Linked DNA regions of Bombyx mori. The protein of the gene in region 2 purifies or fractionates together with the protein of the main gene of each other region. This does not show direct contact. Links are inferred from orthologs where the notes say so. Each region holds a gene or a part of one and is shown on either strand. Other genes may lie near its edges.

Region 1 (9,436 bases), on a different chromosome or scaffold from region 2:
ACTCCCTTTGTTCTTTCGTATAAAAAATGGTTTCCCACACTATTTCAAAAACAAATTAAATTATGACGTCTAACCACCTTTTGCCTTCAATTCAGTTTTTATAGATATTGGCAATACCAGAAGCAAAGCGATCCAAATCGCACCAACTTTATTTTGTTTTTAATTTCGTAGTAGGTATAATAACGTGATTTAAAAATGAAGCTCGGCGTTATTGTTTGTGATCCTTTACATTTGCACCCAGCAAAATGAAATCTCTAGCAAAATTTGTCTCACAACATTACATACAGAATGCGCAAGTCACACTGCACCTGCATGATTCTTTTTTTATTTAATCCGAGGATTGCATAACATTTTTTGTTTCTCAGTCTATCGAAATTTGTTTAATAAATGCAACTGTGTTTAATCCAAAGCGACGTGCTTTTACACTGCATCTTTCCATAAGTGGTCCTTTATTTCCGAACAGTCCACAAAATCAACACTGGCGACTATGCAACTACTGATGCCAATAACCCATGAGTAACTTATTTATTTTATTTAATGGGCAAACGAACTCATCGTTACATATAACAATTAGACCACATATTATGTACATACCTATTATCTAAAGGTGGATAATCACTTTTCAATAATCTCGGGAAACAAGTGAGCAACGTCTAGAAAGCAAAGAAAAAAAATCAGAATCCTTTAAGCTTGATGATAATGATCTTTGATATATAACTAACGAACTGTTCACACATTAGTTAAAACACACAATATTGGTTAAAAAATAATTTTAAAACGTACCTACCTATGTAGTATTTTTCTTACTTTCTTTGATAAGTCAGAAGAACATAACTTTTCACTACGAAATAAATACGAAATCATAATATTCGAATTTATTTTTAAAATTCCGAAGTCACTCAAAATCCGATCTCAGTTTTTTTTTTTATCTAAAGCGAATAAACTTTATTAGGAAAGTGGGATAAAGGTTTGATACAAAAAATACTATATTGTGAAAGGTCGCCCTGTGTCGCTTTACAAAAACTTTGTTATCGTAGACCCCTCTCATTTATTTTATTTTTTTTCACTTTGATAGGTGCGGTGCGGCAGGTAGACGAAAAATCTCGCAAACTTTGCATAGGTATTTTAAGATTTACATTTTTTTATGATGAATGACATTATAGTGAAATGTATAAAGTAAGAATGTATAAATGTACGATTTCTTCTCTGCAGAAATAGGCGCTGTGAAGACAATACGCCCTTCCACCAGTAGATGCTGATTAAATATCGCAGGACACTGGTATGACAATCAAAGAACACTCCTGCCCGTTCTATTAGCTGTTATAACCTCGCCTTTAACGACATTCACGTTAAGAAGTAGCCTGGTTTTAGTCTAAGCAACACCAAACGGACACGGTTTTCGGTATAGAAATATAATAAAAAATGAATGAATAGATTAGTCTTCTTGAAACAACTAGCACTATGAATCTCTGTGCTCTGAGAGGCATTGAAGTTATAATAGACACCATGGTACCTCTTAGTGCCAGTTATGCAAATAAAATCGTTGAAATGTGAGACGTTCCTACTCAATAAAAAAAATTGCAACAAATGATTACACAATGTAGCATTCTACACGAATAAATTTTACGATGAAGGAATAAGATTTCAGAACTATAACTCTGCGAATGTACCTACTGCATTGTGTTTCTCTCCCTACCTATTCGCTGGTAGCCTAAGGGGCTATTCCAGCTACGCCCGGACTAGTAGGTGAGCGCACGAGTTCAACCTGGGAGTATTTGCTAACACTACCCCCAGCCAAAGCAGTGCTTCGCGGAATCTACCACCGGATCGGAATCGCCACCCACTGAGAAGATCCGGCTAGAAACTTAGTGAGCTGTGTCTGTAGGTTAGTTCGCTCGTCGAGTTCGACAAGGACGGGGGGCGGTGCTCGAGAGGCCTAAAAAACCCGAGAGTGAATCCTGGGGATCCGACAAAACATGTTTCGGGCGACGGCAGTTTTGCGTTACCCCGTCGCGGTCGAATATGACATTGTGATATAGCGTGCTTTTTTTAGTGCTTGCGAAGGTAGACTATGGTACGTTTCTGCTGTGAGTGAACAGTAACGGATTTGATTTTCTCCGTTGCGGTACCTAAGTCAAACCCTACTTCTGCATCGAAGACAAGACGCTGCTCGTCCACAATGAACCAAAGAGACAGATAAAACAGCGCGCATGGTTCGCTATGTCCACGTCGCGTCGCAATCATACTAGTGGCCCTTTGCAATGCTACCCTGGCTACCCAGCCTCAGTAGCTAGTAACCTCAAGCTTTTCACGTTCACTCACGTTCGGTGAAGCTAGTACATAATATTGTCCATAGATAATAATATAAATAATAATTATATTATATAAAATAGTAATTTAATATTTAAGAATAGTCTCTCAAGCTTCTTACAACTTACGCATAGTTGTTAAATATAGCCACTGACGTATGAAACCTAATAGCACATATCGTAACTTGTAAGACAGCAGTGTTTGATATCTGATGTCAGTGTCAGTAATCTTATGTCGATTTAAAAAACTCAGACCTTTTTGGCGGGAGTGCGAAGAGTGAATTTGTTTGAATTTTTTATGTTTTTCATTTAGTGTTTCTTTAAGTTTCACTGTGTAATAACGGTGGCTTATTAACTATTGAGTATCTTTGAAAGTCCACAAATGTGGTAAAATAACAAAGCTACTGAACGTACATAGCTAATCGGTTTTTTTCAAAAAATTCACTGAAAAACTCTTAAAAAGTATTAACCTTTTTACTGAGACTTTATGTTTAATTTCATTCCAATTGATAAAGTCTCAAAATAATCAACTGCATCTCAGTTCGCTATCATATCCATATAATAACGGAATATAAAACTTGGCTTAAAGGTCTTGTTACAAGGCCATATAATATTAAAAATAAATAAAAAGAAAACAAAACTCATTAAAATCAGCTGGATAAACCAAGTCGGCCAATACATTAAATGTACATACATTAAAATTAATAGATTTTTTTATTTTACTCATAATTCATAATTTGGACCTGGTTAATTATTTTTTAATCAAAATCTTTCATTCATAACATGGAGTACTCTAACAAGGTAATAGCAGTTTGCTTTTGTGCATTTTACTAGACTTTTCACTATTAACAAAATCTTTGAATTTCCTTCAGAATTTTCCAGAATTGAAAAATGATAGACTACTTCGAGCAGCTTTAGGAAAAAGTGTTGACAAAGTCCCTGTTTGGGTAATGCGACAAGCTGGAAGATATTTACCAGAATTTCAGGAAGTCCGAGTTAAACACGATTTTTTCACGGTTTGTCGAACTCCAGAATTAGCTTGTGAAGTAACACTGCAGCCGCTCAGAAGGTATGAGCACTTGGATGCATCTATAATATTCAGTGATATTCTTGTGATACCACAAGCACTCGGCATGACTGTTGAAATGCACCCTGGAGTCGTAAGTAAAATCCAATTTAAAAATGCTCTACCCATTCTTGACATCATTACAAAAAAATGTATTTCTAGGGTCCAGTATTTCCTAAACCACTTCAAACCCCATCAGAAATAGATGGTCTCCAACCAGAAGGTGCAGTTTCAAGGTTGGATTATGTTGGAAAGGCTATCACACTGACAAGACATAAAATAGATGGTAAAGTTCCCTTGATTGGCTTTACTGGAGCTCCGGTAAATATCACAAATATTTAGGTATAATTTGATGCCATTGAAATATACTCATGTATTTAATTAATTTTGGGATAAAATTTTAGTTTACACTATTTGGATACATGCTAGAGGGTGGAGGAAGCAAAACAATGTCTAAAACAAAAGAATGGCTCGAGAAGTATCCTAAAGATGTCCATAGACTCCTTTGTCTTCTTACTAATGTTATAATTGACTATGTGGTGATGCAAGTAAGTTTGAAATAGTATATTTTTTGCTAAAAACATAATCGATCTTAATGTATCTTGAAAATCAAATATATTTGTTCAAATGGAAATGTATATAATTATATGTATATGCATGTATAACTGAAGGTGGAGAGTGGAGCGCAACTTCTGCAAGTATTTGAATCAAGTGCAGATCACCTCTCAAGAGAACAATTTACTGAGTTTTCTATTCCATATTTGAAAGACATTAGAAGTGGAGTTAGAGCTAAACTTACAGAAAAATCTTTAGAACAGGTTCCTATGGTAAGTTATTTATAGTAAAATAACTTGTAAATAACATGCTCTAGAGATAATCACACAATTAAGAATACTTATTATATTATTTTCAGACCATATTTGCAAAAGGAGCTGGACATTCCTTAGATATTCAAGCTCAATTAGGTTATGAAACCATTGGACTAGATTGGACAGTGGATCCTACTGAAGCCAGGAAAATTGTAGGTGAAAACATTACTTTGCAAGGAAATCTTGATCCTCAGGATTTATACAAAACTCCTGTACGTAATGTATTATAAATTCTTCTGGTGACGTAAACTTTCATTTCATTCATTTCAGTGTCATGAATAATGATGACAAGCTTTTTTTATAAAACCCAGATTTAAAAATTTTTTTTGTTAAACCTGAGTTAATGTGCCGTACTTATTCATTTTAGCTTGTCTTAAACTTAACTTTGAAAAACAAAATACTTTTTAACGCAATAACTAAATTTAAGAAATTACACTTTTCATGTATTTTACTTTATTTACATTAGTAAAATCGAATTAACAAGAAATTAAGATGAAATTAGACATGTTTTTAAGAATTATTTCTTTGCAGGAAGAAATAAAAACACTTACAACTGAAATGGTGAAAAAGTTTGGAAAACATAGATACATAGCTAATTTGGGTCATGGGATTACACCACAAACCCCACTTGAGAGTATGACTGTTTTTACTGAAACAGTACATGAAGCTATATAAGAAGAATATTTTTATGCATGTTATATGGTTGGGAATTAAAGAATTTGCTTGTTAATACAGAAAACTTTTATTCTTAGCATACAACAAATAACTTATATTACATTGTGTATGTTGTCTTCGTATTTTGACTTGTGCCGGGCATATCTTCATCGTGACTTCCAACTGATTTCTTCACATACTGTAATTATTTAATAAATTAATTACATAGTAGAAAAAACAAAAACGAAACTTTGAGAAATCTCCCTAGCTTAAAATAGGAGACATGCATTCTATTTGTATCAAGCAAAGCAACTATGCAGCAGTTCAGGTCCAACTTTTGTAAGAAAATACATAGGATTACGAAAAAAAAGAATTTAAATTTTAATTAACTTGGATTATTCTTTTCGAAAGGACTGATAATTACAGATGGTGACCAAAAATAATGAAAAGTTAGGAAGTAAAAATAAGAAAATATGAAAACAGTTCGTTTATAAAGTTCGATACTCAGTTAATGATTACCAGAGCGGTTGTTACCTGTGGATTGACTTGTATCTGAACATCCATTTCCTGTATGTACTGGTGAAGTTTAGTACAAGCAGCCATTTGCTGTTCTAAGACACACAATGTTTCCGGTGATGCATATTTTTCTGGACTATCTAGAAACACCACCATACCATCTTTTTGGTTAATCATTGCATATATTTCGCCTTCTTCAATCTGTCGAAAAACATTAAATGTGAAGTTTTGTGCCGTGTAACTCTTGTACTGTAAAGCTGAAATTAGTCGAATGTCTCTTTCTAGAGGTCGATGTGAATTGTTTCTTGCCCAGTACCTACTATACGTTTGAGTTTTGAAAACAGTAATTTATTTTTATTTTCTTTATATATTTATTTCTTTAGCGTCGCTTATTACCTACCGCACAATGGAAAACATGAAATGTTGCATGCATATTTACGAGTACGAGTTCTACCAGTGCTGCAGAAACAGCTCGAAGGATTAATGAAGCGTACGGCGCTGGTGTGGCAAAAGAAAGCACGGTACGGTTTTGGTTTCGACGTTTTCGTTCTAGAAATTTCGACCTTCAGAAACAATCGCGTGGACGACCGGAGACCACAGTGGAAATTGAAGAATTAAAGGCTATTGTGGAAGCGGATTCATCACAAAGCAATTCAGAGATAGCTGCAGGCTTCGGGGTAAGTGATAAAACTGTATAAATCCACTTGAAGCAAATCGGGAAAGTAAAAAACTTGAACTACAGTTTTCTAAAATCTGGCCAAACGATTACGGCAGATATCTATTGTCAGCAACTGCAAACCATAAAGGAAGAAATAGCTGCTAAACAACTGAGATTAGTTAATCGCCTACGCCACTGACATCCACCGTATTCCCCGGACTTTGCTCCGACATATTACCATTTTTTTCCCGGGATTTAGACAGCTTCTTACAAGGAAAAAAATTCAACTTCGATCCGGCAATCCAAACCGCCTTCAAAGAGTTTATTGATTTTCACCCCCATGGTTTTTTTAGTAAAGGAATTAATGCACTACCTATGATATAGCAAAAGTGCATAGATAACAACGGTGCATACTTTGATCAATTAAATATATTTTACAAAAATAAATTGACTCTTTATTCCTCCCGTACAAAACGCCAATATAATATTATTATGTTAATTATTTATTTTATCATAGAACGTTTGTATACTGTCAAGCTTCCCTTATTAATAAAACTAACTGCACGTCTTACAGAACATAGTTCTACAAAAATTTTTCAAGATACCTAATGTTATTGATCTTACCATATTAAGTATGTATGTTTCCGCTTGAAGAGGCCCAGATAATTCCACGCGAGAAGCGACATCGCTCAACGAAAGCGTTAAAAATGTTTTTGTCAATCTCTGAATATTCTTCTTATACATTGAATTTAAAACCTTAAAAAAAATTAGTTATAAAAGACTATTCATATTTTCCAAAATATAACACTACCTTAATTACACTGCATTTGAGTTAGTAAGTCATTATCAATCGAATAAATAAATTTTTCTATTTAATCTAAAGCTATTATTTCAAAACAGACCTGATTAACTAGTCCCATATTCTTGTCTCTGACAAATATCTCGCGGTGTTTGCTTGCAGCATGTTGGGATGCCACTAAATCATGATATGGCGCTGACAACGGTTTCAAAAACCGACAAACCACTTGAGATGTGTATTTCGGCATTGGCAAAACCTTTAAAAAGAGTTATTACTTAAATCATTATGTCTAATAAGAACAAAACTAAAAGTACATTATAGGAATAAAAAATTTATTAAATAGATTTTTGAAATAGAAATGAAAACCAAACAATTCTATCATGTCATGGAATTATTATTTTATACAAAATTTTTGTATAGCCAGGAAAACAACATAACATAAAATTGGATTCTTCGGTTTTGATCTTCCAATGGTACGACATGTATTTTTAGCATAGCTTGATTACATGCTTATTAAAAAATATATTAAGTTATGGCTTTAGTAAAAGTCCTGCTCACTGTATGGGTTTAAAATTGAGGTTGAAGGTATCATTGGAAGGAGTAACGTACCTTTCCATGAAGTATAAGAGACACTAAAATATATTTCTTGTATGCTTCCAACATGATGTGGGATACAACCATTGCCGGAACAGTCACTACAACTTCAAAGAAATACAAAGCTCTATCATAGTTTTTCATTGCTGTATAAATCATGCCCCCATAGTAATAATATAGTAGAAAATGTTTGGAATCATTAATACCGCCAAGCTAGAACAAATGAAGTTTTGTTAGCTAGAGTTATGAAATATAGTTTAGTTCAATAATATAATTATATTATTATAACTAATAATATTAATAATATAATAAATTAATAGTATAATTACTATTAACTTATTATATTATATATTTTATTAAATTAATTTAATAGTATAATTACTATTAACTTATTATATTATATATTTTATTAAATTAATTTAATAAAATATATAATATAATAAGTTAATAGTAATTATACTATTAATTTATTATATTATTAATAAATATATAATAGTCATAGCCTGATGATCAACCATCGCTACCGAAACACTAACATTTAATTATAATAAAAAATATACGCTAATTAAGTGTTCTCTCTTTTCGTACTTCGTAAATCTGTAATATTTACTGGTGGTAGGACCTCTTAAGTCCGCACGGGTAGGTACCACCGCCCCATCTATTTCTGCCGTGAAGCAGTAACGCGTTTTGGTTTGAAGGGTGGGGCAGCCGTCGTAACTATACTGAGACCTTAGAACTTATATCTCAAGGTGTGTGGCGCATTTACGTTGTAGATGTCTATGGGCTCCAGTAACCACTTAACACCAGGTGGGCTGTGAGCTCGTCCACCCATCTAAACAATAAAAAAAAACTGTAATACGTTTACTCTACTACCAACCCTTTTTTTTTTCTAGCTAGCTGAGAGCCTTGAGAGGCTATTTCAGCGTAACCTTAACTAGTAGGTGACCTCACGGGGCTCAAACCTGACGATGTTGCTAACACGAACCCTAGCAAGAGCCGTGCTTCGCAGAATCGACCACCGGATCGGAAACGCGACTCACTGAGAAGATCCGGCGAGAAACTCAGTGGGCTGTGTCTGAGGGTTAATTTACTCGTCAAGCCCTTCGTCGCAAGCGACCGGTTCGACGAGACCGATGACCGGTGCTTGAGGTACCTAGAAGCACCGTTAGTGGATCGGGATCCGAAATGACGTGTTGGGGGCGACGTCGACTGCTTTCCATTCTGTCCGCAGGATCTGGAATGTAGTTACCGGCGGCCACGATGAGAGGGTTCTCGTGTCGCCAATCCTTCAGAGGTAACACTATCATAATCATTTTTAAAGAATGAAGACAAATAAAGAGGATTAAAAGGCTACACTTTACCTCATTGCCAATCCCAGTGACGTCAGTGTCCAAAAACTCAAGAGCTGGCTTCATACATTTTGAGAGCAAACAGAGCTGGCAAAGATCAGCATGAATTGAGGTCAGCTGTGAATCAAACAATTGTATCTTTCTTATAGCCTTTTTTAATATTTCCAGGCCCCTTATTGGTTGTTTGATTTCTACCAAATGATTTGTGAGTAGATGACACAAATCTGCATCTGTAATTTTAGAAATTAAATACAATACAATCGTTTTTGTATTGCTCTAGACAGGGATCTCAAAGCCCTACATGTATTAAATGATTACTGCAGCCCATAAACTCAAAATACAAATTACACAAATGACTTTAAGACAAGGTTGAAGTTTTTTTTTATGAATTATATAGAGGCTATTTCACTAGTCTAGACTGCATGTCTGGAGGACTAAGTGGACTTGACTGGACTGGACTAGTGGTTAACAATATGCCATTCTAACAGTAATTTTTTTTGTGTTTCAAGCATTTTATAAATAGAGTGATTAATAATTAACTAATAGGAAAGGACGAGGAAGAAGAATAGTGTATTAGTGAAGAAAATTGTACTCCTTTTCATAAAAATAAAACATAATACTG
Region 2 (10,658 bases):
ACATGAGTTCTAAGTTTCTACAGTACAACGGCTTCAAAACAAAACGCATTAGTGCTTCATGGCCGAAATAGGCTGGGTGGTATTTGTTATCTAACTCGTGCGGACTCACAAGAAGTCCTACCACCACTAGAAATAGCTCTTATTTGCGCGTGAATCGTTTCAATAAATGTGTGAAGAAATCGAAGCGTGACCGATGTTAATTAATACCGAATACGGTCTAACTGAAACGTAATCAGTTACAGCTTACAACTCAATATATTTATCTCTTATCAAAATTTTTAGGAAATTATAGAAGCAAAATAAATACCATTACGTATCAATTTCGCGTTTCCTATATTTTCTTTTTGTTATTTCCGACGTGTCGGTTATTTTACAGTTTACGTGATCACGGACTATTGAGGTGTTGTTCGTCGACATTTGAATACTGTTTATATATTATGTACTTATGTCAAATGTAAAATATGGTAAACACTATATTAAGATCGTAAATGTAGTCTTATGTATTCGACTCGCGACAACCAAAGAAAATATAAAACTATAGAAGTAATGCATTAGATCTGTGTGCTTAGTGCGAGTTTATTAATGTTCTCTATAGCGTAAAAGGTATCCCAATTTTCTACCTATGCAGTTGAAACAGCGCCCCTAACGGCAAACGTCGGCAAACTATCCCATTCCATACAAATATGAGCTAACTTTTACGCTATCGAGAACGTTATAAAACTCGCATTAAGCACACAGATTGTCTTCGATTGGGTGTCGTTCACGTTCGATGTTACGGATACAATTAAAAACCGTCGGAATTGGATAGTATGTAACAATAAAATTGTAACAATAAACTGTGTGTTTGTGTTCTTGACGCTATACAATGTAAATATACAAAGAATATCTGTGAAGAACGTTTTTTGTTGTCTGTTACAGAAAAAAAAAACTGCTTATGAAATTAAATTAAAATTATAAAATCGATTATTTCAAAAATCAGTCATAATAATATGTACCTCATAGAATAGAATCATTGAAATACATCACGTAAATCTTGATCAAATTCGAATTATGACAGCACATCACGTAAAACTTGAAGCGAAACGACTCCCGTTAATAATGATGATAAGAAATTTTATGATTTAACACGTTGACCGCACTGAAGTAATTATATCGATTTCTCTCTTCGATTATCTTACTAAGGCGCGGAACATCTAGTACACTATGCGAAAGACGAATCTGAAGATAATGAGAATGAATTTATTTCTAAGAGATTTAAAATACTAAAATATGCATTAACAAACAAAAAAACTTAGTAACAGAAAATCGATATAATTACTTCAGGGCGCCGTGTAGGACACCGGTGACCTACATGGCCTGGTCAACGTGTTAAAAAAAAACATTTCGACATAAATTCCTCAGATGGGTGCAGGCAACACCGCCCTTCGAACCGGGCGAGAAACTAGTGAATCCGAGATCTCGACGTTCCGACGAGCTTCACACTTCGACTGTAATACCGTATCTCGTCGAGAGGCATTACGCTTCTGCGCAGGAATACTTCACCGAAAGGGACCTGCGGCAAGGTTGGTTTACACTAATCTGTGAATTAATACTTAGCAAAACTTTTTACGAAAATTGCGCGGGCTAAGGAGTATGAAATTTCCTACACTTATAGATAATATAGAGGAGTGCAGAATGCTAATTTTTTTTTAAATTATTCCCAAAAAATACTTTAAATCAATAAAAAATATATATTATACACACATGTATTTGACACACACACACACACACACACACGCATATATAAACACACACATATTGTTGTAAAATTTTTGTTATTGCTTAAATTCTGGTCAAATTGAGAATAGATTAATATTGTTTATCTTTAATATTATTTTTCTATAGTGTATGTAGTCTTGGCGAAATTTGTGATTATAGAAATATATTTTCTTTGTCTTTGACAATAGAACCATAATAATGTTCAAACTTATAATTTCAATTAATTAAAGTTGAATTTCGACTACTGCGGGACTACTAGTAAAAAGATATTTGTCGAGTTGACATATTAAAAAAAAACTTCAATGCCGCCATTTTTAATCCGATTTCAAATCAACAATGGAAATCATAAACCCCGGTTTATTTAACTAAATGTTCAACCTATTGTCTTACTAAATAATGATAATTGCTGCAAAAGTTAAAAAAAAATTCGTTAATAATGTCAATTTCTTGCACTTTCTTTCGACTGTGTAAAGTCTACGCAACGAAATGTTCACGGAAGCCATAGCAAATTCACTGTTTCACATAATACCGATATAGTCGTTATAGAATACCGATATAGACCTATCGTTATTACATAATATATCTGAGATGTGATAATATTAGGACGTGACTAAAATACATGTATTGATTATTTATGAACTCAGCGATTTAAATCAATTACGTAATTTTGCGTAAATGGCAAATTTTTAAATACGATAAATAACCATCAATAATCACGAACAAAATAAAATTCACAGAAGTGTTATTTATTAGACTTCTCTTACTGTTAGCTGTAGCTAGTTAGCTGTAGTCGTTAGCGGAACCTACCGTACAACACAAGATATTTGATAGATTCCTGAATCTCCCTAACAATATTTTCAAAATAAGTCTTCATATATAGTTCCGAAGAACCACATTCGAACGGCCTGTCTACACCCTCCGAAGCAAGGCTCTTGCTAGGGTTCTTGTTAGCAACGTCGTCAGGTTTGAGCTCCGTGAGCTCACCTACTGGTTAAAGTTACGCTGAATACTGGTAGGACCTCTTGTGAGTCCGCACAGGTAGGTACCACCGCCCCGCCTATTTCTGCCGTAAAGCAGTAATGCGTTTCGGTTTGAAGGGTGGGGTAGCCGTTGTGACTATACTGAGACCTTAGAACTATATCTCAAGGTGTGTGGCGCATTTACGTTGTAGATGTCTATGGGCTCCAGTAACCATTTAACACCAGGTGGGCTGTGAGCTCCACTAATCTAAGCAATAAAAAAAAAACGGTTAAGGTAGGAAAAAAGGCCTGTCTACCAAGCAATTTGAACCGCTCGGTAGAAGATCTTCCTTTTGTCGTTCCTCCTCCTTGCGTCGATAATCCTAAATGCTGATGGTCGTAGGCTCCTTTAATAACTTTCTCCTGGATTATCCTGCGCCAGACCTTCCTATCCTTGGCCGAGCGGATGGCATAATGAACTGAAGTATTGAGAGTAGAGTTTATCTGGTCCGACCAATGCATTGGGCTTCTGCCTTTGGGCCTTCTTCCGCATACCTAGCCTGTTACCGGCTTCTTTAAATTGTCATCTGGCTTTTTGGCAACGTGTCCAATGTGTCGTTAAACCTCGTAAACTGTACATCCCATAAGTAAATGTAGCTTAGGATCGTGACCTACTTACCGAATAAACTGTGGGCAACTACAGTGATTTGTGATCCTTTTTCATTATTTTTATTATGTATATCTTTTTATTATTGATATGTTAAGTAGTTACCGGAGACACACTTTGAAACATTATTCTCTAATTTGGCTCTCGCACCCTTTGAATTGAATCGGATCTCTGCTTTGTGGCAGTAGTAGGTAGGTATTATGGTACTTGCTCATGTCGGTTCACAATACGCCCTATTATCACTAATAACACAAATAATATTTGTTGCGGATTTGATTTATCCTTCCTTCATTGTGTAAGTCATTTGTGAACATTGGATTAAGTACGTATTTCATTGAAAAAAAATCGTAAATCGTTCAACACGAGTAGGTACATCAGTGTGCTTTTAAAAAACTCGCACTAAGCACGCAGGCGTCTAATAATTTAGGCCTTACAATGAACTTAATTTTATTTTATGCTATCGTCACAAAAATCTTGATGAAACTTTTTATCGCGTGTAACGTCCATTATCGAAATGTAAATAATAGATTTTGTTTGACCAGGAAGGTTTATGTGTATTATAAATTTACAAATCCTTCGTTTTAATCATTCACTTTATTCACGCATGTTTGCTTTATTTGTTCACGATTAAATTACTCTCATTTTATAAACTGAGAAGAATTGACAGCGCGCTGATTTTCACAAAATTGGAGATACAAACAACTCGGAATTTGCCAAAAAAATAATCAAATTGCTAGTTCAAGATATTAATGCGTAATTAACTAATATCGTTGCTCAGGATTAAAATATCAAATATTTTTTTTAATAATTTATATAGTTTATAATTTTAATAAAATGTATGATTCTCCTCTGAAATTAGAGAATTGTAACAATATATTTACAAAATTACTAATATAACAATGTTTAACACTATCCACAAAGAAATGTAATAACATTAAATCTGATGAGACAAAGTAGGCGACCATGAACTTATTTATCCTTTTTTTTTAACGCTGGAGAATCTATTTACGGACCGGGCTATGTCCGACTCCGGCGCCTCCAGAGAGAAAGAGGGAGACGAGGAGGGCTAAGGTCGTCCACCTCCCCCAATTCCCAAATTAAGTGAAGATAAACTTATCTACCCTAATCAATGTATGTAGCGTGGAGTCTCCGCTTCATTAAATTTGCGATACTAGCGCCACAGCCGGCCACTCCTTTTAATTGAATATGCAATTTCGAAAAAGGCACATGTCGCATATTTTGTCAAATACTTTTTTTCATATACATGTAGTTTTGAGGCTTACCTACACCCATTTTATAATAATTCTAGTAATTTTCAATTGCTAATTAACACTAAAATATATCTCAAAAGTTAATATTTTAAATTTTACACTGCTTTAGAAAATAATCAGTTTTTTTTTTCATTTCCTGAACATTTTACTTTTTCAGAGATGTGCCCTTTTCGATATTGCATATTCAATTAGTCTCTAACAGTATTTTTATATCTTTGTTTCGTAATAATGTACAGTTGTTTAAGCATACATTATTATGATTAAAATATTACAAAAACTAACATAATATTTTTTGAAAAATGAAATTGTTGATATTGCAGAGAGCGATGGGTTGCGCGTTTCCGGAACAGTCCGAGCACGCGTTTGTTCTCTCAGTTAGGTTCGTTGCATGAAGAGTGATATACTACAATCGCCCGAAATATTACAATAACAAATAATAATAAAATAACATTTATGAAAAAAAACTGTAATGCTTGCATATCGTAGAAGTGTCAGAAACATCCCAAGACAAGTAAATAAACACTAATATCTTGTTTAATCGTGTTATTAAATCCAAATAGAGTTTATTAACAAAGAGCCCGCTACTGAAAAAAATCGCTTTCATAAAACCTTTTTTTATACTATGCTGAATATGTACATAGTTTCTCGAATACAAGCGACGAATCCGCGATATACTAGGCGATCTCCTACCACTGATTGCGTTATAATAAAAAAAACGTCTTAAACGCATGTATTCGAAAAACTCTCCCATAGAAAACTCAAGTCCGCCGTGAGATTAATAAAAAAAAAGATAATGTCTATACATACATAAGTGCATTGTGAGATTATCGATCACCGTCGCCGAACCCGTCTCTTCTGACGAAGGGCTCGACGAGTAAATTAACCCATAGGCACAGTCCACTGAGTTGCTCGCCGGATCTTCTCAGTGGGTTGCGTTTCCGATCCGGTGATAGATTCTGCGAAGCACTGCTCTTGCTAGGGCCAGTGTTAGCAACATTCCCGGCTTGAGCCCCGTGAGATCACCTACACGTTAGAGTTACGCTGACAGCCTCTCAAGGCTATCAGATAAGGTACGAAAAAAAAAGTGTATGTATGTATCCAGTAGTAAGAGTCAATTTTTTTTTCTTCTATAGTATTAAATAGTGACTCAAATTTAAATCGCTAAATCTTTGTATAATCTTTGCTTGAGCCCCGTGAGCTCAGCTACTAGCTCGGTGAATCTAGAATAACTCCTCGAGGTTACTAGAGAATAGGTAGAAAAAAAAGGTGAGATTGATTCTTAATTTTTTTTATCGTTTGTTTAATCGTTTCCAGGGCTGGGTGACGGCGGCTCCCGGACGATGTCGACTGCGGAATTGTCTGACGGAGGATCGGGGCAGCACAAGAGGCGATGGCACTCGTCGTGCGGCCGGCTGCCCTCGTGCCGGCTCACGTGATGGACGCGTGACGCAGCAGATAAACTGCCTCCATAAAAGCATCGGATCAGATCTTGAGCGTCCGACGAAATAATATCGGGGATCGGTTACAAAAAAAGAATAATAATAATAATAACAGCACCGGCTCGGATCTTGAGCGTCTGGCGAAATAATATCGGGATCGGTTACAAAAAAATAATAATAATAACAGCACCGGCTCGGATCTTGAGCGTTCGGCGAAATAATATTGGGGATCGGTTACAAAAATAATAATAATAATAAAAGCACGGAAAGGATCTTGAGCGTTCGGCGAAATAGTATCGGGAATCGGTTAAAATAATAATAATAATAATAAGTAATAAAATAATAATAATAATAATAATAATGTAATAATAGCGCCAAGGTCATGCACAACAGTGGGGTGTGCAGTCTCAGGAAATATTTCCTATCGAGGGCTGACAGTGTGATGCACAGAGAGGTCATGGAGTGCGACAAAGGACTGACCCCGCTAGCCCTGGCCAGAGACGGGTGGCAATCACCGGCGGTACTCAGTACCTCTGACCGTGAGGCCATATGGAAAGGGAAAGAGCTGCACGGACGCTTCTTTCAGGCACTGCATGAGCCCCACGTGGACAAAGAAGCCTCCGTGCACTGGCTGCGATTCGGTGACCTCTTTGGGGAAACCGAGGGTTTTGTCTGTGCAATACAGGATCAGGTTATCAGGACGAACAACTATAGGAAGCACATTCTGAGGGATGGGACAGCTGACATCTGTCGATTATGCCGCCGACCGGGTGAATCCCTCAGACATGTCACCTCTGGTTGTTCTATGCTTGCTAACACTGAGTACTTGCACAGACATAACCAAGCAGCCAGAATCCTCCACCAAGAGCTCGCCCTTAAGTATGGCCTCATCGAACAGAGGCTACCGTATTATAAGTACCAGCCGGACGCTGTACTCGAAAACGACCGTGCCAAGCTCTACTGGGACCGGCCCATCATTACGGACAGGACTATTCTTGCGAATAAGCCTGATATCGTGCTGATGGACCAGACGGAGTCTCGGGTATTTCTGGTGGATATCACCATCCCCTACGACGAGAACCTCGTGCGGGCCGAGGCAGATAAAAAGACCAAATATTTGGACCTGGCGCACGAGGTGACCGATATGTGGAGGGTGGTATCTACAGAAATAATCCCGGTAGTTGTGTCGGTGAATGGTTTGGTCCCTAAAAGTCTCTCAAAACATCTCGAGAGGCTTGGTCTCAATAAAAAGTCGGTGGTGGCCCAAATGCAAAAAGCAGTCTTGCTCGACAATGCCCGTATAGTTCGCCGGTTTCTCTCCCAATAGTCCCTAACGCTCCGGCCGATTGTTGCCCACCTCGCCGGAGTGTGTCCTGCCGTCTTCCCAGGCGTGGCAGTGTTTAATACACTATAATAATAATAACAACAGCACCGGCTCGGATCTTGAGCGTTCGACGAAATAATATCGGGGATCGGTTACAAAAAAAAAAAAAATAATAAAAGCACCGGCTCGAATCTTGAACAGCTCTTTAAATAAATAAAAAATTAGTAACGGTGTAATATTTCTATACAAGGTCTCATGTATATTATTTTACTGGTGGTAGTCTTGAGTTCGTACGGGTAGGTACCGCCACCCCGCCTATTTCTGCCGTGAAGCAGTAATGCGTTTCGATTTGAAGGATGGGGCAGCCGTTGTAACTATACTTGAGACCTTAGAACTTATATCTCAAAGGTGGGTGGCGGCATTTATGTTGTGGATGTCTATGGGCTCCAGTAACCACTTAACACCAGGTGGGCTGTGAGCTCGTCCAACCATCTAAGCAATAAATAAAAAAAAGATGTCTATGGGCTCCGGTAACCACTTAACATCAGGTGGGCTGTGAGCTCGTCCACCCATCTAAGCAATAAAAAAATTGTATAGTATGAAATCTGGACTATACAATGTTGCACTGAATTGTTTGTATGCTTGTTACCGCCCGTAGAATGAACCGTGAAGCTACCTTGAATAAGCATAGTTGCTTGGCGGGTGTGGGCAGGACAGATGCACAGTTCGCGACAGAAGGCAGTTTCCTTATCAAATTGGATACGGGTCGTTGTTGGTGCAGCTGTCCATGAACGCACGGACGCGCTTGCAAGAACTACCCGTAACTGGTTTTTTAAAGAGGTTGAACTCCAATTATTCTGATAAACACACATTAAGGATGTTTCAACTTTAGCTTCTGTACATACTAATTGAGATCTTACATAAATATATTTATTAATTATTATTTAGAAAAGAAGCTATTGTTTAATTTAAAAAAAAACCCTAAACAAAGAGCTGATATGTTATTTTTCTATAAAAGATATTAAAAATATTTTCTGATCTGTCGATACGATCATAACACGTCCTGTCCAAAAATGTAAATCGATGCAAACAAGAATGAATCGTCCCGATATCGTGTTCGTCTTCATGTAACCAAACAGCTATAAAATTCCCTACGCACCGATGACAACAAACGCTCAAGATCCGACCCGATTATTACACTTTACGACTTATTTACTTGACACATGATCCAAATCACCAAAACTCAAACCTCCAAGACGACTATTAAAATAATCGAATAAAATTGTACTGCCAACTGAAGAAATAAAGTGCCTGATTCTAAAATAGTACATCTCGTTTGGTCTCGTTACGTTGAATTGTTGAAATATATATATAATTATAATACTCTGTATTTATCCCACCGTAACTGCATTTTTCATTTGCAGATTATGTATTAGAACAAGTTAAGTAAATGTAATGAGTAATTGAAAATGGCTTTTACGTGTCGAGAAATAACGTAACGATACTTTAGAAATGTGCTAAAGAAATATTAAAACAATATTGTAATGTAAAATAAATTTGTTGATATTACTGAAAATATGTAAAATTTGTTAAATCCTTTCGACATAATATGATAAATATGCCTCTTGGAAGAACTGTGTTCTAGTAATTAAGTCGTAAAACTTTAATTGAATAGAATATTTGTTTACGTAAACAAAACTGTTTTCGACTTTAGAAATACAGCAAAGTTATGTTCAGTGTTGCTTTTGTTAAAATATATTCCGGATTGTTAGTGTTGCCAACTTTCTCTGCTGTTTGTTGTTTAAACATTCGATTTCATAGTATTTACGACGTATGTTTGCACGCGGTGTCGTTTATCTGTGAACTTACATTACAGAATCTATTTTAACTTAATGATGAGTTAAAGAGTTCGTCTACGGTATGAATACTTAATGGTATTAGTTTGAATTTGTTTGTAAAACATTATTTTGTATCGCGGTATATCATATGATTTAGTATATACATACATACCACTAGTATTCATTTCTGAATGTCGTTTTGTTTGTTAATGTACGTTTTTTTTTATAAGTCATTTTTATATGTATAGAGATTTTGTTGCACCCTTAATATAGTGCGTTAGTTACAATTGACATATACATTTGTAAAGTAGTACCTGTTTTAAACTATTGTTGGCGCGTTTGTATAAGATTAGAGCGTTTTTTAGCGTAATTGAGTAGATCTCAAATTACAGTGGCAATAAAGAGATATAAATATTTTTATACTTACATAGGACTTAGTTTGTCACTTGCCGAACATTGAGGATCACGTTAATTCATATTAGTTACATATTAAATCGATGCGTGAATTAATTTGCGAATACATATCTGAAATATATACCTAAAATTTATTAAGTATTATTGTTTGTTCGACTGCACTTTGAATGTTTTGCATAATGCCGACCGCTCAGTACTAAAGTCGGTTAATAAATGACGTTATTTTGATATGCAAATTTACGGGCATCGTATTGTTCGATTATTTATTAAAATCGAGCTACATCTTGCAAAAAACGCAAAAAAAGTATTTACATTGGCGAACCGATACGAATTATTTATCCTTTTTTTTTTTTAATTGTAACGAAAAGTACAAATTTGTGTGAGTGTTTTTTAATTAACTAAACGATAAAGTACTGAGTGGCTCATAATAAATAGGGCAACGTCGTTCAATGAATTACAGTATTATGAGTTCAGAAATACGGAGCTAATATATACTAAATCAGCAATAATTTTGAATCGATTGACTGAATTCATCACGAAAGTTCATTGACCTCACTTTTTAACCGTCGCTTTAGATTATATCATAATAATATATCTAGTGTGATAATTATTGAAAAAAAAAAACCTATATTTTTCGAATAATGGATTATATGTTTAGTAACTAACTGCTTAGTTAATTTTTGAGCAGTGCGTAGTTTTTGCTTCATAAGAGCTTTGGTGGAATATCAAAAGGATCGTCGTGTCTGTGTATCGTGCTGTGTGTGCAATTTTAGATGAAAAGGTTTCGCTCTTGATTAGGTTAGGTTAGCCATATTATAATGAGATTATCGATTTGCTGTTATGATCTCTGATCGCCAAAGGCGTAAAGAAGAGTATTTTAGATTCAATATGTTTTATGTATTTACCTCATCACTAGTAATAATATAGTTTTTAAAAAGTGAGGTCACTGACTTTTCGATTAGGTGCATACCTATAATTGAGCATACCT

What was found.
Region 1: the proteins of Lkb1 (region 2) and COP9 signalosome complex subunit 3 purify together in Homo sapiens (affinity purification with mass spectrometry; 5 studies listed by BioGRID and IntAct, with this or other methods). This does not show direct contact. The link is inferred for Bombyx mori from reciprocal best matches to the Homo sapiens genes STK11 and COPS3.

Annotation. Positions count from the first base shown.
Region 1 is NC_085119.1:8,364,872-8,374,307, forward strand, and holds the end of COP9 signalosome complex subunit 3, read right to left. Parts: intron 9,045-9,436; coding exon 8,827-9,044; intron 7,679-8,826; coding exon 7,481-7,678; intron 7,128-7,480; coding exon 6,975-7,127; intron 6,829-6,974; coding exon 6,697-6,828; intron 5,616-6,696; coding exon 5,433-5,615; intron 5,098-5,432; coding exon 5,017-5,097; 3' UTR 4,963-5,016; downstream 1-4,962. Other genes in the region: uroporphyrinogen decarboxylase, read left to right, coding at 3,093-3,110, 3,182-3,469, 3,538-3,696, 3,780-3,923, 4,047-4,202, 4,289-4,456, 4,776-4,919. UniProt on the Homo sapiens protein: Component of the COP9 signalosome complex (CSN), a complex involved in various cellular and developmental processes.
Region 2 is NC_085128.1:6,912,896-6,923,553, reverse strand, and holds part of Lkb1 (serine/threonine kinase LKB1), read left to right. Parts: intron 1-1,401; coding exon 1,402-1,562; intron 1,563-5,969; coding exon 5,970-6,091; 3' UTR 6,092-6,476; coding exon of another isoform or gene 6,477-7,421; 3' UTR 7,422-10,658. Other genes in the region: uncharacterized protein LOC134200964, read left to right, coding at 6,477-7,421. UniProt on the Homo sapiens protein: Tumor suppressor serine/threonine-protein kinase that controls the activity of AMP-activated protein kinase (AMPK) family members, thereby playing a role in various processes such as cell metabolism, cell polarity, apoptosis and DNA damage response.